Mus musculus: one gene and its partner. The protein of the gene in region 1 purifies or fractionates together with the protein of each later gene. This does not show direct contact. Links are inferred from orthologs where the notes say so. Each region holds a gene or a part of one and is shown in the gene's direction. Other genes may lie near its edges.

Region 1 (3,515 bases):
AGATCCTTGGAGGCTCATGGACCAGGTATCCTAGGCTATAGGACAAAGTTCCAAGCTCATAAGAGAGACCAAACAGAAAATGAAAGAAAGGTACCTGAGCTCCAATGCCCAAGGTTGTCCTCTCATGTCCCCAACCACACTCATATAATAGGCATACCCTCCCCACACACACATCAAAAAAAATCAACAGAATGCTAAAAAGTTATATAATCTTGAACATACCTAAATCTTAATCTCTCTGATCTTTTCCTTAAAGTGACTTCATGGGGGAGGAGAGATGGCTTACTTAGCAAGAGTTAGCCTGTTCCAGGGAAACTAGGTTCCTAGTACCCACATGGCAGCTCACAACTAATTGTAATTTCAGTTCTAGAAGATCTTTTGCACTCATACAGACATATATGCAAGCAAAAGACCGGTGCACATGAAATAGGAATAAACATTTTTAAAAAGAATTTATGGAAGTAAATTTTTGGATCAGTGGATATAAACATTTTACGTTTTAGGGAAGGCCAGTAGACAACCTCCAGTGTTATTCCTTTGCGCTATCTACCTTGTTTCTTTACATGGTCTCTTACTTGCCTAGAACTCACTAATTAGGCTGGCAGGATGTCCATCGGGTATTCTAGGGATCTTGTTTTTACATGAGTTCACAAAAATCTAAATTTAAGAGATAGATCTTCATGTTTGCAGGGAAAGTACTTGACCAACTGACTCTACTTCCCAGTGCTCAAAGGTGGTATTTTTCTCTTCTGTATTGCATTACTTTATTGGTCCAGAGCAGTAGTGACAACAGAAAGGAACTATGTTTGTTAAGTTTTTTTTTTCCTCTCATTTAGATAAGTCAAGCTCTTTAGAACAGTATCATTGTTATGTTCCTAATATACAGTTTGTTCCTAATTAAGTTTGACTTTATTTGAAAACTTGTTTTAGGTTGAAGAACAAGCAAGCACTACAGAAAGAGTATTTCAAGACAGACAGTACCAAATTGATGCTGCGATCGTTCGAATTATGAAGATGAGAAAAACACTTAGCCACAATCTTCTTGTTTCAGAAGTCTACAATCAGCTAAAATTTCCAGTTAAAGTAGGTATTTCTGTGTCTCCACACTGAATGTATTATAGGTGAAAGGAAATACATTTAATTTTTAGACACTAATCTTGCAAATAAGATGAAAGACTTAAAGCCATTTGGAACAACATGTATTCATTTTCTATATTTGTACATGTGATTCACAAAAGAACTTTGTTTAGCAAAATTGAGAACTAGTTTACAAAAGCCACTCCCTGTACTTGAAAGTTTAGTGAGTAAATGTGACTTTGAAATTTTTATTTTTAAAGATTTATTTATCTAAGTACATTGTAGCTGTCCTCAGAGACCCCAGAAGAGGGCATCGGATTCCCATTACAGATGGTTGTGAGCCACCATGTGGTTGCTGGGATTTGAACTCAGAACCTCTAGAAGAGCAGTCAGTGCTCTTAACTACTCAGCCATCTCTCCAGCCCGACTTTGAAATTTTTGAGTTAGTTATTATATATCTTTTGAATCTTCTTTTCTGGAGATACCTTGGCATTTGACAGATTTGATTATTAGACTGAGTTATATCTTAAACTTGGTTACCTGTATAAATATTTACTAAAATCTGTTACAGAGACTTCTGGCTATATCTTAATGTTAAAGCACGTTTTGTTTGTTTTGAAAATGTCTAGCAGTGGTTCTAGTAAACCTGAATTGGTCAATATGGGCATGGCCCAGTACAAATGTTCAGTAGCAAAGGTGCTTAGACAATGTGGTGGTGTACTAGACTATTGTTCAAATTGTAAAACATTTTAAAGTGTCTGTGATACACATTTGATAGAGGTTGCCTAGACTCCTGGCTGTTAGGATTCCTGGCAGCTTTGGACTTTGATAAGTCACTTAATTTTGCTGAGCTTGTTCAGAATTGATAGATATACATACCTCCTAGTATTATTACTTTCTATTATTAATCATTTTATTCGTTTTTTTATTTTAAATGATATCCCCCTTTCGAGTTTCCCCTTCATAGACCCACCATTGCATCCCTTATAGTATTATTTTGAGGCTTATTGAGATAGGAAGTATAAAACACTTGATCATGAGTTTAGTATATATTGAGGTTTTACTTGTAGTAGCTGTTACTTCCACTATTACAAGGTAGGCTGCTTCTTCAAACTTGAAACTGCTTCCTCATTACCACACCTGCATACATGCTCACCTAATCATTTTACCTACAGCAAGATTGCTTATTAATGCTAGAACATCAGAAATAACTAGAACTTTGATCATACTGAAACCAACATGATACTTAAACCTGGGGCTATTAGATGGAAGTTTACTTCCTTTTTTCCGGTTTGGTTTGGTTTGGTTTTGAGATAGGGTCTTACTGTGTTCTACGGCTGGCTTCAAAGTTAGTCCTTCATTTTTATCAATTCCATATCTGTGAATTCAACAAACCAAAGGTTGAAAAACACTCTTTAAAAATGCAGTAGCTGAGCTGGACGTGGTGGTGCACGCCTTTAATCCCAGCACTTCCCAGCACTCAGGAGGCAGAGGCAGGCAGGCAGATTTCTGAGTTCAAGGCCAGCTTGCTCTACAAAGTGAGTTCCAGGACATCCAGAGCTACACAGAGAAACCCTGTCTTTTTTTTTTTTAAGATTTATTTATTATTTTATGTAAGTACACTGTAGCTGTCTTCAGACACACCAGAAGAGGGAGTCAGATCTTGTTAAGGATGGTTGTGAGCCACCATGTGGTTGCTGGGATTTGAACTCCGGACCTTCGGAAGAGCAGTCAGGTGCTCTTACCCACTGAGCCATCTCGCCAGCCCGAGAAACCCTGTCTTGAAAAACCAAAAAAATAAGAAAAGAAAAGAAAAGAAAAGAAAAGAAAAGAAAAAGAATGCAGTAGCTGACTGGGAAGCAGTGGAAGGCAGATCTCTTGTGAATTGTAGGTCAACCTGGTCTACATGGTGAGTTCCAGGACAGCCAGAACTACAAAGAGAGACCCTCTCTCAAACATGCCCATGGGCTTGCTCTTCCCCCCCCACACACACACACTCCAAAGAGATGCATTCACTGTCTGTAGGGACATGTACTCTTAGCTACCAGCTGAGGCAGCAATATTACTTAAGCTTCTTATCTTAACAAAATCTTGCATCTGTATTGAATATTCAATTTCTTTTCCTTTTTTTTTTTTTTTTTTTTTTTTAGTTTTTCAAGACAGTGTTTCTCTGTATAGCCCCCGCTGTCCTGGAACTCACTTTGTAGACCAGGCTGTCCTCAAACTCAGAAATCCGCCTGCCTCTGCCTCTGCCTCCCAAGTGCTGGGACTAAAGGCGTGTGCCACCATGCCTGGCTTCTTTTCCTTTTTATCTCAGGTATTGTAAGTGATGTAGAGATACTTATTTATGTTAGGGTCATTCATTCAAGAGATAAGTGTAATTACCAATGCAAGACTATTTATTAAAAGATAGTATTTCTAATTGTGTGTCTCTGTGA
Region 2 (4,058 bases), on another chromosome or scaffold:
TGGTTGCTGGGATTTGAACTCAGGACCTTCAGCAGAGCAGTCGGTGCTCTTAACCACTGAGCCATCTCTCCAGCCCTCGGTTATTTTTATTTTATGAAGAACTGCAGCAACATTGGGTTTTTGTTGTTGTTTGGTGTGTATGTGTGTGTGTGTGTGTGTGTTCAATGTATACACTGAACCCAGTATATACAGAATGCCAAGCAAGCACTCTCCCATAGAGACATATTCCTAACCCACTAAAAAATTCATTTCAGTGGCTACCAGGTATTTTTATAACTGTACAAAACTGACCATAATTTATTTAACCAACCTCTTATTGTATATTTGGATTTCTTTTATTTCCAGTATCCCACTATTATCAGTGATTGTTAAGCAGAACATACATTTTTATGTAGGTCCAAGTTTGATTACAGATAGCAGTATCACTAGGTCACAGTTTAGGGCTATGAGGGCTGGCTAGGACTGGTTAAAAAGATAAAGCATCTCTCAGATTAGACATTCTGAAAGGGTGTACCAGTAGAAATAAGGCACTTCTAGGCACATTTGATTGGCAGACAAAATTTTCGAATGAAGTAAAAAGACAATCAGGTTGGGAAGTCTGTATTTGAAGTAATAAAAAAACGAAAAAACAGTCAGCTCTTAAGAACGAAATACTTTTAAGAGTAGACTTGAGCAGATCAAGGAGTGGAAGAAGTCTGAAATGTGGAAAAACAGCCACTGTGAAAATAACCTCAAGTAATCAGTTAAAAAATATCTACAGAACTTGTAAGAACTAGAAGAGTAATAAGGAAGGAAAAATACTAAAATTATTACAGACTTTCCAGGCCAAATAACCCAAATACCTAGGAATCCTGAAAGTTCCGTGTATGTTTGAAATACCTGTCCACATAATTAATGGAGACCAGCCAAAGAACAAAATGCTGGGCGCTTGTTTACAGTTAAGAATTTTAAGGCAGTGACAACCTGCGTGGATCGGGAGAAAATGTTGGGGTCTCCGGCCTAGAGACCAGGAAACCTGACACAGAACCTGTCACATGCTCGCCCCGGGAGCTGAGGTGTCCTCGCGATGGCCCACCTCTGGGCCAAGGCCGACATCGCCCGCCTCTCTGGCCTAGGAAACCATCCCAGACAAGGTAGGGTTGGCCTTGGACTCACCCTAGTTACTCATAAACCAACGGGAGGTGGCGAGCGACAGAAGCCTAGGGACGGTCGGCAAAGCCCAGACCCAAGGGGCGCGTGCGCACTAAGGCAACCGGAAAGGCTCCGGGGACGGCCGCGGCACTTAGGGAGCGTATGCAAAGACCAAGAAAGGAAGCCAGGGGTCGTCAGACAAGACCCCCGCTGGTAAGCGTGTACACAGCAGGGTGGAGAGGCCCAGGTCCCACCAGTGAGGACTGCTTTCGACAGGCCGCTAGCGCTACAGCCAGGGGAAAACGGTTGAACTGGGGTTGCTGGGAGCTGAGGGAATAGGAGCGATTGGGCACGCAGTAAAAAACAAACAAACAAACAAACCACTCGAGGCCAAGCGACCTTAAGGGACCACCTCGCAGACTTGATGTCTAGTTCCGCTACGTCTAATGCAGGTCGCAGCCAATTCCAGTCCGCTACGACTAAACGCCCCTCTTGGGTTGAGCAAGTTCCCCAGCCCACCTATCAATCACAGGTCTCAGCTATCCAATCAGAGGGCCGAGGGGGAGGGACTGCTTGGAGCGTCGAGTGACGTCAGCAGGCCTGGCCGCCAGAAGCGTGACGGACGAGGCTCGCGACTGAGGAGCTGTTAGCCGGCGCCGCAGCGATAGTCGCTGTAAACAGGGCCTCGCCCCTGCGGGTCCTGCGACAGCTCCTGGCTGGTGGGTGGTCTCGCGTGGGGCGGTAACCGCCAGACGCCGGGGGGAGGTGCTTCTCCATTTTCCCTCCCCCTGTTGTACACACCCCCGGCGCACCACGTGGGCGTGAAGCTAAACTGGAGGGGGTGTTAGGCTGACTTCTAACCTCATTGGCTGTTGATGCTGCCGGCCCGTGCAAGAAATTGCTCTGATTGGTCAGTAGAGGGAGGCGTGGGGGGGGTCTGAGTTCTAACGCCTCTGGTTGGTTGTGTGAGATAAGCTAGTGAAATGCGTTCTTCCGCAAGGGGTTTTGATTGGTCAGTCGGAGAGGTTATCTGGGATTCAGCCATCCCGGGCCGGGGACTTTGATAGGTGAGTTTGGTTAGGAAAATGGGAAATTCCTCTTCGTGGACTCTGATTAGTACGGTAGGGTTGCACCCTAGGTTTCATATGGCTTTCTTTGCTTCACAGGATTGAGAAAGGTTTATGTTCCCGATACCCTGGGAGCTGTCATAGCTAAAGAGAAGGAAATCTCAGTCTCCTGGAGGGGTCACCCCTCTAAAGATAGCTTCTGCCCCGTTTCTGGAAACCCTGGTATTTCTACAGCAGGCTTTGCTTTCACCAAACCCAAGTTGGAGACAGGAGCAGCCCCTGCGCAAGACATAAGGATGCTGTAACCAGAAGATGGGATCACGGAACAGCAGCAGCGCCGGATCCGGGTCCTTAGAACCCTCTGAGGGCTTGTCCCGAAGAGGGACTGGCCTGCGTCGTAGTGAGGAAGAGGAAGAAGAGGATGAAGATGTGGATCTGGCCCAGGTACTGGCCTATCTCCTCCGCAGGTAACTTACCCTCTGCTGTGACACTAAGTGTCACAATGTCTTGACCTCAACTTCAGGCAGGAAAAGTGCAGAGGATAGGGAATGGCATTGTCCCAGGACAATGGTTGTGTTTGAACAGAACGACCTTTCCCTGCTGGATGTCCATACACTCTGCGTGGCTCCCTACCCAAAATGGTTCTTACAACTCTCATAGTTGAGGAGCTCCTAAGGGAAGCCTTTTCAGCTGTGACAACACAAATGTCATCAGTTTTCCAAGAAAATAAAACGAGAGAAGGGAGAGGGATTATGGAGGAAAGGAGAGATGTGAAAAGAGTTGGGAAGGGGGTGCTAAGTCACTTGCCATGTGAGATGAAGCCATGTGGATTTACTTGAAAAACAAGTTTACATCGGCCTTACTAGCCCTGCTCTTAAGAAAAGAATGCCCTCAAGGGGGTGACCACCAGGAACTAAGAACGTTTTGTTTGCTTGCCTACGGTTCCTTGGGAAAAGATGAACCTAGTATCCCTGCAGACCCTGTGTTCTGTGTTGCGTTCCTACACCGACGGCTGTGAGGGTTGTTGTTGTTGTCAGCTGGACAGAGTCTGAAATCACCTGGGGGACACGGCACACCTGGGCGGGATGGATTATTTAGCCTCTCTGGGCAGGCCTGGAAGGGATTATGGCGATTGGGTTCATTGGAGCAGGAAGACCCACTCTGAGCGTGGGTGGTGCCATTCCCATGTGGGTCCTAGACTGTATAAAAAGGAGAAAGCTAGCTAAACCCAACCATTCATCCCGCCTTCTTCCTGACTATGAGTGCTGTGTTACCAGCTGTTCCTGGCCCTGCTACTTTGATGGCCCCGCTATGACAGACTCTGCCCTTGAGCCATGAACCAGAATATACCTTCTCTCACTTAAGGTGCCTTTGTTGGGGTATAGAAGGAAAAGTGGAAGTGCTCTCCTAATTCTTAGCTCTTGAATTCAGGATATAGCTTTGTGGTAGAAGCTTACCCAGCATGCACTGAGCCCCTGGGTTCAGTCCTTAGCCCTGGGGGAAAATTATATTTAGCCCTGAGAGAAATCAATTTAGTAGGTCAGTCTTCATAACCTGTTAGAACTCTGTGTTCTTACTCTTAAGAGTTAAAGCTGGTTTCCTGCTGTGTCTTTTTTGTGTGTTTGGGGTTGGTTGGTTTGTTTATTTTATTTTTGAGTCAGAGTTTCTCTGTGTAGCCCTGGCTGCTCTGGAACTCACTCTGTAGACCTGGCTGGCCTTGAACTCACAGAGATCCACCTGCCCCTGCCTCCCAAGCGCTGGGATTAAAGGCATGCGCCACCACTGCCTGGCCCTACTATGACTTGTAGGAGACTTAAAATCCAATTTCAAAAGGAGAACCAACTGACTAAGAGCCAGATA

What was found.
Region 2: the proteins of Cul4b (region 1) and Dcaf11 purify together in Homo sapiens (affinity purification with mass spectrometry; 9 studies listed by BioGRID and IntAct, counting the BioPlex papers as one, with this or other methods). This does not show direct contact. The link is inferred for Mus musculus from reciprocal best matches to the Homo sapiens genes CUL4B and DCAF11.

Annotation. Positions count from the first base shown.
Region 1 is NC_000086.7:38,534,690-38,538,204, reverse strand, and holds part of Cul4b (cullin-4B), read left to right. Parts: intron 1-930; coding exon 931-1,083; intron 1,084-3,515.
Region 2 is NC_000080.6:55,558,778-55,562,835, forward strand, and holds the start of Dcaf11 (DDB1- and CUL4-associated factor 11), read left to right. Parts: upstream 1-1,251; 5' UTR 1,252-1,344; intron 1,345-1,663; exon of another isoform or gene 1,664-2,432; 5' UTR 2,433-2,510; coding exon 2,511-2,665; intron 2,666-4,058. UniProt on the Homo sapiens protein: May function as a substrate receptor for CUL4-DDB1 E3 ubiquitin-protein ligase complex.